Ovis aries: one gene and its partners. The protein of the gene in region 1 interacts with the protein of each later gene in a pairwise test. Links are inferred from orthologs where the notes say so. Each region holds a gene or a part of one and is shown in the gene's direction. Other genes may lie near its edges.

Evidence for each region.
Region 2: the proteins of KIFC3 (region 1) and PSMB1 interact in binary tests that used the Homo sapiens proteins (3 or more experiments, as listed by UniProt). The two-hybrid records come from large-scale screens. The link is inferred for Ovis aries from reciprocal best matches to the Homo sapiens genes KIFC3 and PSMB1.
Region 3: the proteins of KIFC3 (region 1) and DCTN2 interact in binary tests that used the Homo sapiens proteins (3 or more experiments, as listed by UniProt). The two-hybrid records come from large-scale screens. The link is inferred for Ovis aries from reciprocal best matches to the Homo sapiens genes KIFC3 and DCTN2.
Region 4: the proteins of KIFC3 (region 1) and SOX5 interact in binary tests that used the Homo sapiens proteins (3 or more experiments, as listed by UniProt). The two-hybrid records come from large-scale screens. The link is inferred for Ovis aries from reciprocal best matches to the Homo sapiens genes KIFC3 and SOX5.
Region 5: the proteins of KIFC3 (region 1) and CLIP4 interact in binary tests that used the Homo sapiens proteins (3 or more experiments, as listed by UniProt). The two-hybrid records come from large-scale screens. The link is inferred for Ovis aries from reciprocal best matches to the Homo sapiens genes KIFC3 and CLIP4.
Region 6: the proteins of KIFC3 (region 1) and CDR2 interact in binary tests that used the Homo sapiens proteins (3 or more experiments, as listed by UniProt). The two-hybrid records come from large-scale screens. The link is inferred for Ovis aries from reciprocal best matches to the Homo sapiens genes KIFC3 and CDR2.

Annotation. Positions count from the first base shown.
Region 1 is NC_056067.1:25,344,597-25,348,715, reverse strand, and holds the start of KIFC3 (kinesin-like protein KIFC3), read left to right. Parts: upstream 1-1,319; 5' UTR 1,320-1,602; coding exon of another isoform or gene 1,603-1,613; coding exon 1,614-1,785; intron 1,786-4,119. UniProt on the Homo sapiens protein: Minus-end microtubule-dependent motor protein. Involved in apically targeted transport. Required for zonula adherens maintenance.
Region 2 is NC_056061.1:91,728,220-91,731,719, reverse strand, and holds part of PSMB1 (proteasome subunit beta type-1), read left to right. Parts: intron 1-148; coding exon 149-256; intron 257-3,500. UniProt on the Homo sapiens protein: Non-catalytic component of the 20S core proteasome complex involved in the proteolytic degradation of most intracellular proteins. This complex plays numerous essential roles within the cell by associating with different regulatory particles.
Region 3 is NC_056056.1:162,121,317-162,124,816, forward strand, and holds part of DCTN2 (dynactin subunit 2), read left to right. Parts: intron 1-48; coding exon 49-209; intron 210-399; coding exon 400-550; intron 551-869; coding exon 870-935; intron 936-1,143; coding exon 1,144-1,182; intron 1,183-1,360; coding exon 1,361-1,438; intron 1,439-1,522; coding exon 1,523-1,594; intron 1,595-1,819; coding exon 1,820-1,922; intron 1,923-2,034; coding exon 2,035-2,126; intron 2,127-3,154; coding exon 3,155-3,237; coding exon of another isoform or gene 3,238-3,241; exon of another isoform or gene 3,242-3,439; coding exon of another isoform or gene 3,440-3,452; exon of another isoform or gene 3,453-3,500. UniProt on the Homo sapiens protein: Part of the dynactin complex that activates the molecular motor dynein for ultra-processive transport along microtubules. In the dynactin soulder domain, binds the ACTR1A filament and acts as a molecular ruler to determine the length.
Region 4 is NC_056056.1:191,789,905-191,793,404, forward strand, and holds part of SOX5 (transcription factor SOX-5), read left to right. Parts: intron 1-2,726; coding exon 2,727-2,958; intron 2,959-3,500.
Region 5 is NC_056056.1:35,969,834-35,973,333, forward strand, and holds part of CLIP4 (CAP-Gly domain-containing linker protein 4), read left to right. Parts: intron 1-1,069; coding exon 1,070-1,188; intron 1,189-3,500.
Region 6 is NC_056077.1:20,559,589-20,561,984, reverse strand, and holds part of CDR2 (cerebellar degeneration-related protein 2), read left to right. Parts: intron 1-721; coding exon 722-870; intron 871-1,127; coding exon 1,128-1,292; intron 1,293-2,359; coding exon 2,360-2,396.

The DNA of each region.
Region 1 (4,119 bases):
CTTCTGGGACATCCTCTGAGGAAGGCCGTCTGGGCCTACACCAGGAGCTGCTGTCTGCTCCAAGCTGGCATTCTGAATGTGTTTTCACTGGAGATTAAAGGAATATTTTACCTTTAAAAATCCCAAACAGCTTCCCTGCTCTGCAAGACATCTATCTCTTGGTGGGGTATGAGAGGGGAACAGGGCCAGGCAGGAGCAGGGGGCAGCAGGTGGTGCCCTGGCTAGGGAGGCAACCTGGCCTGTGTGCTCCTACTAGAGCTAGTGAGAATGCACGTGTGAAAACGCGTGTGCTGATGTGTGACAGTGCATGCATGGGCACGTGTGCTCACTAAAGCGTGTGTTGTTTAGTTGCTAAGTCAAGTCTGACTCTTTTGCAATCCCATGGAGTGTAACCCGCCAGGCTCGTCTGTCCGCGGGGTTTCCCAGGCAAGAATACTGAAGTGGGTTGCCATCTCCTCCTCCAGGGGCTCTTCCTGGACCTGGGATCGAACCCAAGTCTCTTGCCTTGGCAGGTGGATTCTTCACCAGCTGAGCCACCTGGGAAGCCCATGAAAGTCTGTACTGGGGTTAGCAGCATAGGAATGTTGCTCTGTGAAATGTGAGGAAGAGTTCAAGAGTACCTGAAGAAGCATGTACAGCATTTGTGGGAAAGCAAGGGGGAAAGTCTGAACTCCGTACAGGAATGTGAGTGCACATTGGAAGTGTGTGAGAATGTGCAAGTGTGCACACATACTAGCTAGTGTGTGTGTGCTAGAAAGTTTTAGAAAAAAGTATACTACAGATTGTGAGAAACTGTGAAGCGTGGCAAGGGAGCACTTGTGAGAATTGTGTGTTAGTAGTAGTAACTAGTGTGTGCAAAAGTTTTGTACTAGGGTTTGAGGAGGTGTGGATGAGAATGTCAGTTTAAGTGCAAAGCATACACGTAGGAACGAACGTCGGGATGTGTGTGGGAACTGTGAATGTGTTCATGTGGACTCACTAGAGCGTGTGTGCAAACCTGTGAGAGCCGCGTGTATTGTATGTGAGCACGTAGGACGGCTTGTGTGCGTCTGGGGTGAGCGCGCACGTGTGCACGGGCGTGTGCGGAGCGCCGGGAGACCCAGAAGAAAGGTCTGAGCAGAGCCGGCGGCCCCGCGTGAGAGTGTGAGTCTCTGTGTGTGTGCACGCGGGAGCGCGCGCGCGTGCCGCCGCCCCCCGCCAGGGTCTGAGCCGGTTGCCATGGGAACGCGCCGCGGCCCGAGTTAATCATTTCCTGTGGAAAGTGTGCGGGAGGGGCCGGAGCGGGGCGGGAGCGGGGCGGGCCAAGGAGGCGGTGGCGTGGAGCTGCCTCCCGCCGGCGGGCCGGGCCGGGCCGAGCCCCTGGCGCTGCGGCGACGCCGGGATCCTGCCTCCGCCAGGCCGGTGAGTCCGGGGCTCGGGCGGGAAGAGGGAGGGCTGGGCGCTCGGGTTCCGCCCAGCCCGTCGTTCGGGGTGTCGCGTCCGGGATCCCCCTGCCCAATCCCGAGGTGGGGCGCGGGGAGGGCCGGGCCCGGGAGACCCAGCCCTGCGCTATCCCGCCCCCACCCCCGCCCCCCACGCTGTCCAGCCAGAGCCGATCAGAGCATGGGGGCGACATGTCCCCTGGAATGCGAGCAGCCTCGGGACCCCCTTTCCGATTTCAATGGCCCGGGAAAGCCGGAGATTGCCAGGGAACCGCGTGCCGGTCAGCGCCGCCCCCTCCCCGGGCCGAAGTCCCCGGGTCCGCAAGGCTCCCTCGAACGCTGCAGTTTCGAGCCCTCCCACCGCGTAGGTCCTCTGGGCAGTTGGCTTTCCCCTTCGCAGGGCCGGGATGGGGTGGGCTAGCGGCAGGTTAGGAACGAGGGCCTGGGCCGGCGTCCCCCTGGGCAGTGGGGAAATTGAGCCTTTGACAGCTGCAGCCTGGTGGGGAGGGGTTCCCAGCTGGGAGGGCCAGCCCGAAGCCACCTCTGTCAGCCCCCTGTTGTGAGTTAGAGCGGAACTCTGGCGCAGTGAAGGGCCTGGTCCTGGCAGATTTTAAAGAGGAAGCTGTATTTAAATTCTCAAGTACCATTTGTCATCAGCACCCCCCCCCCCCACACACACACACATTTGTCTCAAGGTTGGGGGTCCTGGCCACACCTGCCCTTTCGCCTTCTCTGGCTTTCTGTCCTCCTGAGGCTGAGCCAGCAACTCTGCTGGCCCAGGCTGTTCCCTGTGCCCTTGATAAAAGTAGCCGTCTCCTTGGCCAAAGAGTCATTTGTGAGGAATGCAGTCTGAGAATGGGGCCCTGTATTTGCAGTGACTGGACTTAAGGGATGTGGGGGTAATGCGTTCTGCTTTCCCTCTGGGCACCAAGGGACAGAGGCTTTGAAATCTGGGTTGACCTGCAAAACCTAGGATGTGTGACTGCTCAGGGGAGGTCCAGCCCCTGTCCACCCTCCCAGACCTTCTGCCCCCTCTCTCAGGGAGACGAAGACTATGTTTCCCCAAGCAGTGGTCTCTGGGCAGTTGTCAAGTCTATTCCCCAATCATTGCAGCAACCCTGGTCTGGGGGAAGAGGGCTGCACCTCTGCCACCCTGGCCTAAACCTGGAGAGGCTGATGGGGCTCTCCTGCAGCCTGCCCCTGCGTTCACCCACCGCTGGATATAGGTCACTGAAACATTAAATTTGCGGGGGGGAGGGGCAGGGTTCTTTGTATATGTCAGTATTGTTCTTAATGTTGTGTATATGTGTCATCCAAACTTTACATCAACCCTATTAAGGTAGAGTTCTCCCATTTCAAAGATGGAGATACTGGGGCTTAGAGACAAAGTCATTCTCCCAGGGTTGCACATCTACTAAGTGGTGCAGCCGGGCTCTGAACTAGCTTTTGGTCATAACCACGCTGTGCCCCCATCACCCCGTCCTAAGACCTAGGTTTTTGTGTCTCCAGTCTTGGGCTGTTTGAAAGTCCTTGATGCTTTTGACTCTCACATCTGACAGTCTGCTAATTCAGCTACTTTTTCCTCTCCAGGATCTTGCACACACCCTTCCTCTTTCTTCCTGATATCTTCCTGCCTCCCAACTTCCCTTCCTGAAAGCCAGGAAATAATGTGTCCTTCTGTCCCTGCCCCTCAGGCTTAGCTGACCTCCTTAAAAGTCTTCTCAGGGCTTCCCTGATGGCTCAGCGCATATAGAATCTGCCTGCAATGCAGGAGACACAGGTTCGATCCCTGGGTTGGGATGAGCCCTGGGTAGGGATGATCCCCTGGAGAAGGAAATGGTAACCCACTCCAGTATTCTTGCCTGGAGAATTCCCACGGACAGAGGAGCCTGGCGGGCTACAGTCCAAAGGGTCTCAGAGTCCAACACAACTAAGCACAGAGCACATGAAGGTCTCCCTCAACCATGGAATCGACCTTCAGTGCCCTTTGCCATCTCACCTTCCAGCAGCTCAGCATGCAGGTGGAGCCCGTCTCACTCCCTCCTTCTTTACCCACTGGGCAGCTGATCCTCAGGGCAGATTGTGTGCCCAGCTCTTTGCTGAGTAGCCTGGAGAAGGGGACGTCTGGCTACATCTCCCAGTTCCCTCCACTCCACACTCGTCCATCTCCATTTCCTCAGCGGAGCTACCCACAGGCAGCATTAATGTCCACTCTGCCCTTTGGCCAGCAGTCCTGACCCCTGCCAGGGAGAGGGCACCCAGGAGATTCCTCCTCCAAGGTGTCTTCCTTAATCAAGGAAGGTAGAGGCCAGGACTCTCTAGCCAAGAGCCTGGCATTCTTCCAGGGCTCAGCTCTGCCAACCTCAGGCCACCCATCCTTGGGGTCTTCCTTCTCTTGCCTCTCAATGCTTCAGTTGTTCCTGTTCCTCTATTGACCCAGCATGTGCAGATCTCTCCTGTTCTAAATTCCACATCCTCTCCTTCCCATCCTAGCCAACTTCTCCAAAGAGAAGGAAGTGGCAGCTTCCTCTGGCCACCCCCACCCCACCTTAGACTTTCCCAGGTCTGCCCTCTGTTCTGCTCCATTGACCTTTCTTCCAATTGGATCTCTCCGTGGCATGGTTCCCTGGTAATTGACCATCCCCTCCTTCTCACTCCCGGTCACCTCTGAGGACTCTTCACCTGTCTGTTGCTTCAG
Region 2 (3,500 bases), on another chromosome or scaffold:
TCTTTTCCTCTTCCATCTGAATCCTGTACTTGATTATATCTAGTAGATTTTATCTCAGTATGTGCTATGGATCCTTCTCATATTGGGAAAGGTGTTATTAACATCCAAAATAATTCATTAATTTTGTTTTTCCTTCTTTTCCCCTCAGTACTGTATTGGCAATTGCTGGAGAAGACTTTTCAATTGTTGCTTCTGACACTAGATTAAGTGAAGGGTTTTCAATTCACACACGGGACAGCCCCAAATGTTACAAACTGTAAGTAAATATTTCTAAGGACATGTTTTCGGCACCTTGTGATGATTTAATGCTGCGAGAGATTCAGGTTTTAAATGGTGTGTTGCATGAAATTTTAGATTGCCTGTTTGGAGCTTAGCTTGTATTTTTGTTAGAAAATTATTTTCTAGTAATTCAGTATGTAGTCTTCATAATATTTGCTATGTCTAGGTACCGACAGTGTTTTTGGTAACTTAAATATTTTTTACTCAGCATCTTATAAAAAATCTCAAATATACAGCAAAGGTAGGATAATTCTCTAGTCAATGCTCATATACTATCATGTAGATCTCATCAGCATTTCATTGTTACTACTTTACCATATGTATTTTAATCTTTCTTTAATATATTGGATTCTTTTTCAATCTGCACCTTAAAAAAAAATAACCTTCAATTTACCCATATCTTAAGCAGCTATGTCCATGGCTCACAGTTCTAGTGGGTGGCTATGTTTTTTCTAAAACGTAAGAAAATAAAGTCATGGGTACTGGGGGTAGGGGGAATCTGCATAAATTACTAACTAAAGGCACCTTACATGTTAACAGTGGTTTGTATTTAACATTTTTGGACACAGTTGGAAATGGTTACTCTTAGGTTACTACACAAACACTTCTTAATCCTGAATTCCAGCAGGAGTGAACTGATGAAGTTGAGGTCCTTTGGGTGGGCCTTGTGGTGCTGCAGGGCGTGGCCCAGCCTACACCGCAACCTAAAGAACAGTAAGCTTGTCTTCATCTTCCCAGTTCCCTTTCTGTCCACTTCCATCTTTTGATACCTTTTTCTCTTCTCTGATTCGTAGCGTGGTGATTTAGTTGTTAAGTCGTGTCTGACTCTTGTGACCCCATGGACTGTAGCCTGCCTGGCTCGTCTGTCCATGGGATTCTCCAGGCAAGAATACTGGAGTGGGTTGCCATTTCCTTCTCCAGGGGGGTCTTCCTGGCCCAGGAATCAAACGCTGGTTTCCAGCATTGCAGGCAGATGAATTACCTACTGAGCTATCAAGGAAGCCCTTGTAGCATACCCATGCAACAATTTTTGTCTTTTAAGATGTAACTTTTATAAAGTGAAAGTAGTAAATGTCATGAATAAAACTTAAATACATAATGTGATAGATACTGTCCTTGTACAAGAGTCTGCTCATCTTGGTAACAGTGTTTCAGCTTGTGTGCCTCCTGAATGAGCACTCTCTCTCTCTTTTTTTTCTAATGAAACACTTCAGGTATATATAGAGAGAACAGTTTTACTTCTGTGTTCCTGCCGTGCATTACAGGCACTGGGTCACACATGAATTGCTTGCATGCTCCTGATCCCATGCCTTTTGGGGCTGACCTGGAGTCTAGCCCACCTCTTCCCCTACTTGTTTGAAACTTATATTTACTCTTTATTCTTTGCAGAAAAACTCTTCTTTATTTAGATACCTGGATATTTGGCAAAAGCATTTTGAAGCTCAGATTTTGTTTTACCCTCCTGGTACTGTCAGCCATTCTCGATAGTACAGGCAGTGAAGCCTTATGGTGTATTGGGGTTTGGCTCAGTGCAGTGAGGTTGGTTATAGAGAGATCAAGAAATGCTGGTGATGACCCTGGAAGTGCCGGTGGTCTCCCCAGTTGGACAGGTATGTTTTGTGTGAATCTTTCATTTCTGAAAGAAAGGGCCTCTGCTGATCATTTCTTGATGAGATGGGTTTAGGTTTCCTTATAAATATCAAGACTTAGGAATTAACTTTTGAGCTGTCAGTTCCGTTGCTCAGTCATGTCCAACTCTTTGCGACCCCATTGACTGCAACATGTCAGGTCTCTGTCCATCACCAACTCCCAGAGCTTGCCCAAACTAATGTCCATCGAGTTGGTGATGCCATCCGACCATCTCATCCTTGTTGTCCCCTTCTCTTCCTGCCTTCAATCTTTCCCAGCATCAGGATCTTTTTCACTGAGTCAGTTCTTCACATCAGGTGGCCAAAGTAATGGAGCTTCAGCTTCAGCATCAGTCCTTCCAATGAATATTCAGGACTGATTTTCTTTAGGATTGACTGGTTGGATCTCCTTGCAGTCCAAGGGACTCTCAAGAGTCTTATCCAACACCACAGTTCAAAAGTATCAGATCTTTGACGTTCAGCTTTCTTTATGGTACAACTCTGTACATGACTACTGGAAAAACCATAGCTTTGACTAGACGGACCTTTGTCGGCAAAGATACACAAAAATTTTATTAAGTACTCTCTGGTGGGCATTTGGGTTGTATTTGTTTTGTTTTAAAGAGTCATTAAAATAATACATATACTTACACGTGAAACTAGAGCTTATCTTCTCGAACTTGCATGAGTATATTTGTAGCAATGGAGTTTTTGAATGAAAGTGATGTGCATTTAAGCTTTTAATAGATGCTGTCGAACAGCCTTTCTAAAGAGTTGGGTCAGTGTACATTCTTTCCCAGTTTCTGAGAGTACCTGATTTTCAAAACCTCACTAGCATTAAGCATTATTATTCTACTAGGCCGAAATCGTCTCTTTTAGATTTTAATTTATGAGTGGCGTGGAGGCTCTTTTATATGTCTATGGTGACTTGTGTCTCTTTTTATATGACTTTCATATAATTTAGGGGCTTCCCTAGTGGCTCAAATGGCAACCCCGTCCAGTACTCTTGCCTGGCAAATCCCATGGATGGAGGAGCCTGGTGGGCTGCAGTCCATGGGGTTGCTAGGAGTCGGACACGACTGAGCGACTTCACTTTCACTTTTCGCTTTCATGTATTGGAGAAGGAAATGGCAACCCACTCCAGTGTTCTTCCTGGAGAATCCCAGGAACGGGGGAGCCTGGTGGGCGGCCGTCTCTGGGGTCGCACAGAGTCGGACACGACTGAAGTGACTCAGCAGCAGCAGCAGCAGCTAGTGGCTCAGATGGTAAAGAATTTGTAGGAGACTGGGTTTGATCCCAGGATCGGGAAGATCCCCTGGAGAAGGGAATGGCTGTCCACTCTAGTATTCTTGCCCGGAGAATTCTATGGACAGAGGAGCCTGGTGGGTGAGTCTGTGGGTTCACAAAGAGTTGAAGGTGACTGAGCCCTGAAAGTTTCACCTTCACGTCGCTTCCCTCCCTCCTTTGTTTTTCGTATTGAGGCATAACTGGCATCTGGGGGCTTCCCAGGTGGTGCAGCAGCGAAGAGTACACCTGCCAGTGCGGGAGGTGCAGGTCTGAGCCCTGGGCCAGGAAGGCCCCTAAAGCAGGGGC
Region 3 (3,500 bases), on another chromosome or scaffold:
CTTGACTTACTCTTAGCACCCCTCACTGTCTATTTGTTTTCATACCAGACGACAGTGAAGGAATCAGCCACTGAGGAGAAGCTGACCCCCGTGGTGTTGGCTAAACAGCTGGCCACCCTGAAGCAGCAGCTGGTTGCTTCCCATCTGGAGAAGCTGCTGGGACCAGATGCCGCAATCAACCTTACTGACCCCGATGGAGCTCTGGCTAAGTGGGTGCCAGACTTTGCTGGGAGATCATTGCTAATTGGGGTGTAGAGGGACTCCAGCCAGGTATTGACAGGGCTGCGAAGGGGAGAGGTGGCCTAGCTGTTCCTTAATGCTGACCCTGAGGCAGAAACAAGTGACTGAGCTGACCCACATCCTTCAAGTCGTGATAATATTGCTGGTTTTTTGATCCAGGCGCCTACTGCTGCAGCTGGAAGCAACAAAGAACAGCAAAGGGACTGGTTCAGGGGGCAAGACCACCAGTGGGACCCCCCCAGATAGCAGCTTGGTCACTTATGAACTGCATTCTCGGCCTGAGCAGGACAAGTTCTCTCAAGCTGCCAAAGTATGTTTTTGTGTGTGTTTGTGTATGTGTGTGGATGTATGTAATGTTGGTTAAGGGGCCAGGGAAGATGTGGCTCCGGAGACTTTCCTGCTACCCTCCAAGGAATCATGTCTGGGGAGAGGGTGCTGGGAATGCTTGATTCTTCTTGATGTCTCATTTAAGACTGTGACTAGGGCTGTGTTCCAGAGAAAGAAATCCCTTGGCAGAGTGGTGGGGAGAGGGGAGGGGAGGGCAAGCAGACCAGCAAAGAGCAAGGTTTACCTCCCACTGCAGCAGAAGGGAGGTAGGTGGATGGCAAATATCCCCATTCCTCCCCTAGGTGGCAGAACTCGAGAAGCGCCTGACAGAGCTGGAAGCCACTGTACGCTGTGATCAGGATGCTCAGGTCAGGTGCTCTCTTGTACTTGTTCCAACCCTCACATCCTGAGCCCTAAGGTCCACAGCATTCCACAGAATCCAGGGAGGAGTCAGGAACAGGTTCCAGTTACAGGAGCAGCCAGCAGTTGCCTGCTGGAACCCAAAAGGATGAGAGAAGGTGGTAATCACCTGGAGAGATGAGAATCACTAACTTCTTTGCTTCTTTTCCCCATCAGAATCCCCTTTCAGCAGGTCTGCAGGGAGCCTGCCTCATGGTGAGTGTAAAAGGAACTGGAGTCTTTGGATGACAGAGGGGATATCAGGATTGGGTTTGCTTAGAAAATTATTTTTGGATCTGTAGCTGTTTATTCATTACCTTCAGTGGAATATGAGGTGGCCTTTTCTAGTCTGATTCTGTCTGCTTCATGGCACTTGTCCTGACCCCGCCCCCAGGATACTGTAGAGCTGTTGCAGGCGAAGGTGGGCGCCCTGGACCTTGCAGTTTTGGACCAAGTGGAGGCTCGGTTACAGGTATTAAGTGGAGGCAAATTGGATTACAGGCAGCTAGTGACTTTGGAAGACCTTGATGCCTTTGCTTAAAATCTGTGCTTTCAGAGTGTGCTGGGAAAAGTGAATGAGATTGCCAAGCATAAAGCTTCTGTAGAGGATGCAGATACACAGAGCAAGGTCAGGAAGAGACCTTTCCTTCCATCTTCATACCCTTTCCTGCTCCCTCATGTACTCTTCCTGCTGGAAAGAGCAAAGCATGAGAGCACTGAATCCTCAGGCTACTGTCCTCATAAGCTCTTACCAGCTGAGATAAGGCAGTGCTTCCCTGTTGCCCCAGCTTGCACTTGTCTCACCCTAATGGGGTGTATTTGGCTGAAGTTGGTCACTATGTTGTCCCTCCAGGTGCACCAGCTGTATGAAACCATACAGCGCTGGAGCCCCATTGCCACCTCCCTTCCTGAGCTGGTACAGAGACTTGTCACCATCAAACAGCTACACGAACAAGGTGGGAGGCCAGCCACAAGGGGTGTCAAGAGGAATGGAAAGTGAGCAACTCCTGTTCCCTTCCCTCTGGTCTTGGATTCTAATGCCATGCCTGCTGTTCTGACCTTTCACAGCCATGCAGTTTGGTCAGCTTCTGACACACTTGGATACCACACAGCAGATGATTGCTTGTTCCCTCAAGGACAATGCCACCCTCTTGACTCAGGTGAGTGCCTCCCTTCCCCAGCACACACAGGCAAGGTTCTCCAGCTTCAGCTCCAGAGGGTTCTGCCTTGGCCCATTTGGTGGCACAGTGGTGTGGCAGGGGTTTGGTTTGAGTCTCCATACTGTTTCTTGGTTGCCATGGGACATGTGACAACTTATTTAACCTATGAACCTCCATCTCACCATCTGGCAAATTATACCTACTTCAGAGTTATGTGGATGAAATGAAGTAATATGAGTGAATTGGTAAGAGCTCAGTAAACCTCCATTCTTCCTATAAAACCTACCTTTTCCCTCTGTAGTCTCAGCTGGCTTTTATCCTCCCTGGGTCCTCAACCAGATGTTCCTGAGCACAGGACACTAGACAGAACATGGGCATTGAAATCTGGAGCCAGGCTCCCACCTGGTTTTGCCCCTTCCTTCCTGACGCTGAGCTGTGAGCGTCACCTCTCCATTCTCTAAGCAGTGCCCAGCACAGAGCAAGTCTTCAGGTTATGGCAGAGGCACTGTTCTCAGTGCTGGGGGATGCACTACAGTTGGGATTCTGGCATCACAGGACTGTCAAGATAAATTAAAGTGCTTGGCATGGTATGTTCTTCCTCCAAAGCAGTTTTCTAAAACTTCGGATGAGTGAAACCCTTACTTCAACAAAATCCTGTTTGTCCCTCAGTACATAAAACAGATGAAAGAACTGTTCTGGTTAAAGTCAGGATGGGAATTCTTAAGAGGCCTGCCTGTTTAGCAGATCCCATGCTAGGTCCATGGTGCTCCAAGTCACCTTCCCATTCTGGGGCCCACAAGCTGTTTCCATTTCTTTTTTCTAATTTAGCTTTGTTGTGCAGCTCGTGGGATCTTAGTTCCCCTACCAGGGACTGAACCTGGGCCCCAGCAGTGAAAGTGCAGAGTCCTAACCACTGGACCACCAGGGAACTCTCCTGCATGTCTTTGTCTTCTCTCAGAGAATTTCTTCAGGGCCTCACCCAGGTAAGCACCTGAACCTGACAGTGAAACAGCTCTCTCGCTTTCTAGGTGCAGACGACGATGCGTGGAAACCTGTCCACAATTGAGGGGAACTTTGCCAACATCGATGAACGGATGAAGAAACTGGGAAAGTGAGCACCTTTGGGTGATGGAGGACAGGGGTAATCCCTACCCCTTTGAACTCTATTAATACCTTACACAGGGTTTCTCCTTAATCGTAACTCTTGCGTCCCATTTGACACTGGGGGCAAGGGCTTCTTGCATGTGGGGCTTACACCCCCTCCTCTGAAGAGTAGTGGAAGCTGGGGATATTAAATGGTGGTCTCCTCTTAGGCCACAGGGATGAGGACATGGCCCAGCCACATGCCAGCTCCTGCCCAATACTGCTTTGCCT
Region 4 (3,500 bases), on another chromosome or scaffold:
AGTTTGCTTGGACACAGGGAGCTCAAATTCCATGCTTTGTGACAACCTAGAGGGGTGGGATGAGGTGCGAGGTGGGAGGGAGTTTCGAGAGGGAAGGAGCTACATATCCCTATGACTGATTCATGTTGATGTATGGCAGAAACCAATATAATATCATAAAGCAATTATCTTTCAATTAAAAAAATGAATTTTTTCAAAAAAGCAGTTTACTAGGAGAGCATGGAAACAAAACAGTGGGAGTTAAATATCTCTAGTGTTGAGTTATCATATAAAGTTTAATCTGTCAATTTGGGGATAGATAAAGTGTTGCCAATGAGACTAAGAGCTTCCCTGATAGCTCAGTTGGTAAAGAATCCACCTGCAATGCAGGAAAAACGGGTTTGATTCCTAGATGAGAAGGGATAGACTACCCACTCCGGTATTCTTGTGCTTCCCTTGTGGCTTAGCTGGCAAAGAATCTGCCTGCAATGCGGGAGACCTGGGTTTGATCCCTGGGTTGGGAAGATCCTTGGAGAAGGGAAACGCTACCCACTCCAGTATTCTAGCCTGGAGAATTCCATGGATTGTATAGTCCATGGGGTCACAGAGTCAGACGCGACTGAGTGACTCTCACTTCACTTCTTTTTTATTTTTATTTTTACTTTATTTTACTTTACAATACTGTATTGGTTTTGCCATACATTGACATGAATCCACCACGGATGTACATGCGATCCCAAACATGAACCCCCCTCCCACCTCCCTCCCCACAACATCCCTCTGGGTCATGAGACTCAGTCTTTTCTGTTAATCCCAGGCCCTTGCTCTTTCTCCATACTTAGAGTATACTTGGGGTAAACCTTAGTAATGAGATCAGAAATGGTTAAAGATCCCTGAAATGCACTGGCCCAGTCTGTTTCTGTTTTTAAACAGTGCTTGGTAACCACTACTATTTCCTTTCTTTTCTGTGTTCTTCTGCTGATCAAGACTTCTGCTAATAACATTTTTTCTTTAACACTTGATAACTCATTTGATCAGTTTATTGTCAAGTATGACTAACCAGGGAACGTTTCTCTATTGGAGACTGTGTATCCAATGTTGATTTTACAGTTTAACTCTTAGAATGCAATCTGCATTGTCATTTTTGAGTTGTTGTTGCTGCTGCTGTTTTTGTGTTTTTAACGGTGGTGGGTCACACTGTAGTTTTAAAGGTAGTGAAATAAACAGCAGTATTTTTTAATTGAGTGTCTACTCTGAGCAAAATGCTCTGTAAGTCATTTTTCATGTGGAACATAGTTCATTCTCAAAGTATTACAGGTAGATATTTCATCTCACTTTAAAGATGAGTAAACTGAAATAGAGATTAAAGTAAGTCTCACAGCTAGCAAGTAGCAGAATCAGTGTTTTATTTTGTGTTTGTCTGATTCCACAGCCTTTATTTTTTTCTACTCTGCTATTTTATCTTCACAGAATATATCCAGCATTTAAATACATTTGTCTTTCAAAACTTCTAACACTAAGAATAGCATCACTCAACAGAGGTTAGAGCCCTCTCATTTGGTAGTACATTTTAACTTTAAAAATCAGTGATATATATGAATGAAGTGATGTGGTAGTTAGTTCATACTTTCTTGTCCCCTGTATCAGTGGTATAGAATAAGAATGGATGATTTTGTAGACACTCTTTGTTGAACAAAAATTAGAGTGTTTTTCAAGGTCAAATCAAGTTGTAAATACCAGACATTTTTTTAATTAAAAAATTTAACTCTATTCTGCTTCCATGAAAAATTTAATGAAAAGAAAATATGTCTTATGTTTCACTAAACATATTTGCCATTTATTTTTAACCTCCGATAACATTCTCAATCAGACTCAAGTACAAAAAAAAAATCTAAGTGTATTGTCATATAGGCATTAGCTTGTCAAAACAAAACATGCTTATTTAATTTATTTTTTCTTTGCTTAGGTATTCTAAGGAAGAAATAAGTCTGAGAATCTACAGCTAAATATTTCATGAAACTGTGGAAATAAAATTGAAATATTTTTCTATTCTTATCATTTTTTTTAACTACCTACAAATTTTATATTAGAACTAAAAGCCAAAATTGGGTGATTTGGGGATATGAGAGAGAAAAGTCCTTAAATATTTGAGGATTAACAGTGATTGTAGAATTTCTTCAATTCTTAATAAGCTTTAAACAAATATCAAACTTTTTGTTCTGTGACCTGAGGTTTGCCAATAACCAATATTCCTACATTTTACAATAATCTTACTTTTAATGCAGTTTTTTTAATGACAGTCATTCATTTACTTTGTTTATTTTTTGGTGAAAAATTTTTTAGTTATTTCCCTTCCTTTAACTGCCAACAGGATTTGCTATTCATGGATGTTCTGTCTTCAATAAGGTCTATCAACGTGTAAAATGAGATGGGTATTTTTCTTTCCTTTAAAATGGAATGGTCTTTCATTATGCAGTGTTCTTAGGTGAATTCTCTTGTTTAAGAAGCCAGAATACAAGAGAGTGCTATATTAGTGTATTATTCTCACAACAAACAAGCACTGTTCTGTTGCTACCTGCTTGGCCATTGTTTCTGATTGTGTGTGCTTTGCAGTGGTATTTGGATGGTTTCCTGCTCTCTGCCAGCACAAAAAGGCATTTCTGTTACAATGGCCCCTAACCACACAATGACGGCATTAAGGATTTATGTGGAGGTTTCATTATTTTCTCCTCTTTTGTTCCTTCCAGGATGTCTTCCAAGCGACCAGCCTCTCCGTATGGGGAAGCAGATGGAGAGGTAGCCATGGTGACAAGCAGACAGAAAGTGGAAGAAGAGGAGAGTGACGGGCTCCCAGCCTTTCACCTTCCCTTGCATGTGAGTTTTCCCAACAAGCCTCACTCTGAGGAATTTCAGCCAGTTTCTCTGCTGACGCAAGAGACTTGTGGCCATAGGACTCCCACTTCTCAGCACAACACAATGGTAGGTTTCTCATGGGCTGTTGTGCCTACACTCACTGTGTGACCAGTCTGCTCCTCTAGTAGTCTGGCTTCAGTCCTGTGCTTCGTAATTATCATCTACTTAATAGGCACACACAAGATTCACTCCTAACATCTTAGAATTCTTTATAAGTACATTGATTCCAGCAGGGAGTATACTTACACTGTTTTTGTTTTGTTTTGTTTTGTTTTTCAAGAATTCTGCTTTTGAGACACTCCCAACTTAATTAGTGGAAAAACATAATCTAAGAATAATATTAACACATTTAAAATTAGTCCTCAAGAAAGTTAGATATCTTTATATTTCTAATAAAGAGATATATTTCTAATAAAGAGTAATAAAACTCTAATAATTTTTCCAGAAAGAGCTATAGCATTCTTTGAGCATTTCCACCATGATAAATCAGGGTTGGTTTTTTTTTTTTTTCTTTCAACTTCTGCTTCCCTCAGATTGGGTTCCAATATTTCTTACAGTACTGGGAATACTACAGAAGTGCATGTTTCATACAGACAATACATTTCTGA
Region 5 (3,500 bases), on another chromosome or scaffold:
CCTGTTTATGTTTTCACTTTTTGAATGATGTTAGGAAGAACGCCTCTCTTGATGGTACTGCGGCTGCTGCTGCTAAGTCGCTTCACTCGTGTCCGACTCTGTGCGACCCCATGTCTTTCATAACTGAGGACAGTGTTCTGAGTGTGTCTTGGTTTGTTTGCAGTGTGGGTAGGGCATGTAAGGTGGTGAAGCAGTCATTTGATTCAGGCAGGATTAGCAGAACCAGAGGTATATTAAACCCATGTTATAAAAAACAGTCGAAATGGAATATCCAAATCTGGAGTATATCTTGTATTTATGTATTACATCCTGATGATTTGTTGAAAGTTCTTAAAATGTTCTTAGAATTGCAAGATTCTCATTCTTACTGTGACATACAAATTCTTCATAAAGTATTGTGAATGAATACAGCATGTAGCATATGTTTAATTACACTTTAATTTATTCCGGGTTTGAGAAGTCTCCGTTGTTTTACCTTCTTTTTTCTATGAAGAGGCAGATAGTAAATATTTTAGGCTTTGTGGACCACGTGGTCCCTGTTGAAACTACTTGATTCTACAGAGTGGTGTGAAAGTAGCCACAGAGAATATATAAATGAATGCAAGTGGCTGTGTTCCAATAAAACTTTATTTATGAAAACATGATGAGTTGGATTTGGCCATGAGCCACAGTTTGCTAGTCCCTGACTAAACCATGCTACATTATCATTGTTGTGGCCAATATGCAAGAGGTTTAGTGAAAGAGTGTGTTAAGATAGTTACTTTTATAAATACGAATTATTGCCATTAATTGCTTTTAAGTATACTTTAGTTTGTGATGGTTAGAAAACACATAACATGAGTCTATTTGATAGTGAAATTTTATTATACTAAGAAAAAAATTAGTTAACCAGATTGTAATATGCAGATTTTATTCCATTGTGAGAATGGTCCTTCTAGTGGGTTGGTTTAAGTCTCGTCAATAGCTTATACCCCATTCCCCCAAATAAATCCAACCCAACCTGCCTCTTTTCACGTTATAATAGATTAACTAAAATTTTTGTTAATACACTTGTGATGTTCAATTACAGATGTGGATGCCACTTGCAGCGACTTTAATTTTGGAACAGCTCTGCATATTGCTGCATATAACTTGTGTGCAGGTACCGTGAAATGCTTATTGGAGCATGGAGCCAATCCTGCATTTAGGGTAAGAGGTTAAATTAAAAGTGAAAAATATTAAAAAGAATGAAAACATCTAACATTATCTCCCAGGAAAGAGTTGAATCTGGATGTTGTTGTGGAACTCTTATATGAGTAAATAATTTATATTTTTTTGTGCTGCATATAAAGAGTAATAATTATAAACTTTTATCTCAAATAAGTTTAAGGCATAGCGGTGAATTTCAGTCCTTTTATATCGATAAGCTCTACTAGCCTTACTTTCATTCAGCTAAATAAAATGCTCTTTACAGTTTATCATCTTTGAGTTTAAAAGTATCTTTCGTTTAGGCTTTTGCTTTATTTATAAATCCTTTAGCTATTAAATAAAAATGCATATATTAAAGTTTATATTTCTGCATTAAACCACATTTTAAATTATTTTGGAAAGAAGTTTTATTTCAGACAGTCTAAAAAAGGCCTATTTAAGAATGGAGTAAACCTTTAAAATTGACTTAAAGGAAAAATTTATTTTTTCATGATCAAGTTACATACTTACAAAGTTAACACACAAGACTGAACTTCATAAACTTCAAATCGTTTGGTATTTTATTGTCTTCACCAAAGTGGCTATGCGTTTTCTTTTCTGTTGCATTAATAGCAGTGACTTGCTCTGGCAGGGATTCTTCACTGGGTCTGTGCATTCTCTTGAAGTGGCGGCAGTGGTAGCAAAAGCCTCCTCCCCTTTTCTTTTCCTTGCTTTCTTGTTTTGCCTTCCCACCCCAGTTCGTTGCCACTTTTCTTTCTGTTTAACCCCATTGATTATTTAATCAACCCCTCTGTTCCTCCTTCCCTCCCTCCATCCTTCGCATCCTATTGTTTTTTAGGCACTGGGAGAATACATGCGTCTGGGACAATACATATGGCACTGGGACAATAAATGTGTCTCTGTCTCACATAGAATATCATCTAGAGAGGGGGACAAATGAGAGCAGGCAGATTTACTGTAGTGTGTCAAGTTGAGTGTGTTAGGATGGGGGACAGGCGGGGTGTGGCACAGAGTGTCATGGGGTTGCATGGGAGGGGAGTCTGTTCAAGCCTTAGGAAGCCTCCTTCCTGGCATAGGTAAACTTGAATACTTAAACAGAGTTGAGAATTAACCAGGTATAGGAGGAAGCTGAGGAAGGCCCGTTAGGCAGAGAGAGTGGCGTGCACAAAGGCCAGGAGTTGGTTGGAGTGTGAAGGTGATAGGTGCTTGCTTTTGCTAGTGCAACTCTTGGCAAGACCCCATTAATGGAGAGAGTAGTTTGAATCTAGTAAGATGCAGTGAGGTATGTCACGGAGATAAATTACCAATTCAAGCCCAAAGTAATTAATAGATTTTACCCACTTTTGGTAGTTAATACTTAAAAAAAAAAGATATCTACATGTGGGTCAGCAGTAGCCCTTGGATCAGACCCTAACTTAGCCACTACTTTAGAAAAAGTGAAATTCTATAATCATGAGCAAATCTTCTTATGTTAACATGACATCATTATTATTTTATTACTATTTAGTATTTTTTAAACACTGAAGTTTTAGTTGCTAAATTTTATGTAGGAATTAATAGAAATGTGTGACTTACTCCAGAAAGGTGAGAACTTAAAAATCTGAAGTAAAATAGTCATTGTAAAAGTAGCCTACCACTTAACAGAACAGGTTTGTTGATTTAAAAAAAGTTTTTTTCCCTTCTTTCTTTTTCTCAAGAGTACATATTAGCACTATAGATGATTTTCTTTATATTTTGTACTTTGAAATTGGGGATCAAAATAGTTCATCACCATCCCCCAAATTTGATAACATGTCTTCCTAACATATTTTTACTTAGAACCAAACTGACTTGAATTTTAAAATAAAACATGTGAGGCCCTTGCAGACTAAGTGTTCTAAAAGCCTCATTCTTTTATCCATGTGGATCATTTGAAGATAATTATCAGAGGAGAAGTAAAGGGAAAAAGGTTTCTGAGCCAAAGAATCTTGGTTCATCTCATGAAGAGAAGATTACAGTCTGGAATCTTTCTGATAAAACCTGAGTTGTTGGCTAGGGAGCAGAGACGAAAGAGGGCTTGTTTGAGGGAAGGACGGCCTGGAGCAGGAGAAGAGCTGAGGGTCCAGTGGTTGCTGAATGTGGGCTGACTGAATGTCGTCTCTGCAGTAATCATGCAGATGACGCTGAGCCATCACTCAGTCGTCTCTCCTTGCCTAAGTCTCCTAATTGGCAAACTGGAAATGGTAGTAATATTTTACTTGTTTAGTTGGTCCATCCTGCTGCAATAAAAACAAATTTGTAACAGGCAAGGATTTTTATCTCTGTCATTCACA
Region 6 (2,396 bases), on another chromosome or scaffold:
AAAAGTAGACCAGCCTAAACTGTATTGGTGAGCTTTAGGGGAACTAAACATATAAAGGACGGCCTGTACTCAGCTCCTTTTAAGAAAAGTAGTTTAACTGAGATTTGAAGTTCTTCATTTCGTAAAATAAACTTGTGGTATTGTGGTATAATGAAAACTATATATTCGACCTTTGTCCCCATGTCCTGAATCCCTCGGAATTTCCTGAATGATAGAATGAGACTGCTCACCAGAGGAGCCGACCACATGATTAGAGGGTTAGAACTTTCAGCCCCGTTGCCAGCCTCTGCAGAGGGGTCAGGGACTGGAATCAAGTTTGTTCACCAGTGGCCCATGATTTAATTAATCATGCCTGTGCCATGAAGCTTCAGTAAAACTCTAAAAGGAGACCAAGAGGTTTCCAGGGAGGGTGGTGCATCTGAGAATAAAACTGTAAGTAAATCCCTTTCCCAAGCTCTGTGTGTTGTTTTAGCAGATTATTGAATGTGAGAGGAGGTCATGGGAATTCCCTAATTTATAGTTGTTTGGTTGAAAGGACGGGTGGTCCCTAGGACTTACCTCTGGTACCTGAATTGGGGGCAGTTTTGTGGAACTGAGCCCTTATCACTCCAGGTGGTGTCAGAATTGAAGTGAATTGCAGGATGCATTCTGTATTATACCTGGAATACTGCAGGTATCCCACATGTTTAATGTGTAACCTGGTCACAATTATCTCTTCCAGTATCTGACCAAGCAGGTGGAGCTTCTGCGGCAGATGAATGAACAGCATGCAAAGGTTTATGAGCAATTAGACGTCACAGCGAGGGAACTGGAAGAAACAAATCAAAAGCTCGTTGCTGACAGCAAGGCCTCACAGCAAAAGATTCTGAGGTAAATTCTTTAGAATCTGTTGAAGAAGCCCTAGGGGAAGTCATTTAGTATAAACTAGAATAGAACATGGCTGTAGTGGGTTCAGGTCAGTGTGGGGTAAGCTTTAATTTAATTCTCTATGGAGAATAGAGATTAAATAGAAGTCTTTTCCAATTACAAAAGCCCAGTTTGAGTGGTTGCCAACTAAGCTCTCCTCACTGCTTATGCCTTTAATTTAATATGACAAGCTGCAATTGGCTTCTGTCTGTTCCTCACAGTCTGACTGAAACGATTGAATGCCTGCAAATGAACATTGATCACCTCCAGAGCCAAGTGGAGGAGCTGAAATCATCCAGCCAAAGGAGAAGGAGCCAGGGGAGGCATGACCAGGAGAAATCGGCCCCCAGCTTCTCGTCTTTGAAAGAGCTGTATGACCTCCGCCAGTAAGAGCCCACCTTCCATTTGCAAGCAGGAGAACATCTCGTGTCATTGGCACATTCTGGATCCCAGTAGATTAAAAGTACCCTTTTAGGAAATGCCGCTTGGCTATTAGACCACCAGTGGTTTGAACAAAACCACTTAAACATACATGTGATAGTTTTTGTTGTTGTTGTTGTTGTTTAGTCCAATTGAAATTTCAGTAAAACAAAATCCAGGCAAACAGAAGGCTTTTTTTTTTTTTTTTTTTTTCCTGAAGAAAAGCCTTTTACAATTTAGACTTTGGAGATTGAATCTTCATTTAAGAACTATTTCTTGAACACCTGTGGTAAGGCAGGTGCTATGCCAGATGTGAGGAGTGGTGAGCAAAACAGACACAGTTTCTGCCCTCATGGAGCTTTCAGTCTCAGGAAGAGGCAGGTAGCAAATAAGTACAGTTACAAGTTGCCCAGGACTCTGACCAGGAGAGAGACCAGCTCGTGCATTTGGTGGGCCTCAACTTGACTGTTCAGATCGCCATCAGGCCTAATCAGAATCTCTAGGTATGAGTGAAAGGCTATTCAGGTGATTCTGATGTCTGTCTGTTCTTGGTTTAAAATCACCGCAGCAATGGTTCTCAGTCTTAGCTGCATATTATGAATCATAGGAAGAGCTTTAAAAAATACACACCCTCTAGTTCATGTGGCAGACCAGCTAGGTCAGCATCTGTGGGGGTGGGACCCAGGCGTCAGTATGTTTTAGGACTGCCCAGGTGATTCTAATCTGCAGCCAAGATTGAGCACCACTGGCTGTTCTGATCTCCTTGAACAGTCTCAGTCATACTACTGGTCTTTGGGAATGGATGTTCTATAGCATTTTTAATGTTTTAAAAAAAAATTAATTACACAAGATGTGTGTTCCTCCATGTGTTGTCAGCCTCACACATTCGTTTTAGCCGCTGCTCTAGGGTGGAATAGGCAAAAAATCAGTCATATCACAGCTCCTCAAAAATATGTAGTTGGAAAAAAATCATCAGCCTCCCTCTTTGCCTTCTCAGTCGGCCTGTGTAAGAGTCTTTCAATATTTCCCCCAGGCACTTCGTGTACGATCATGTGTTTGCCGAGAAGATC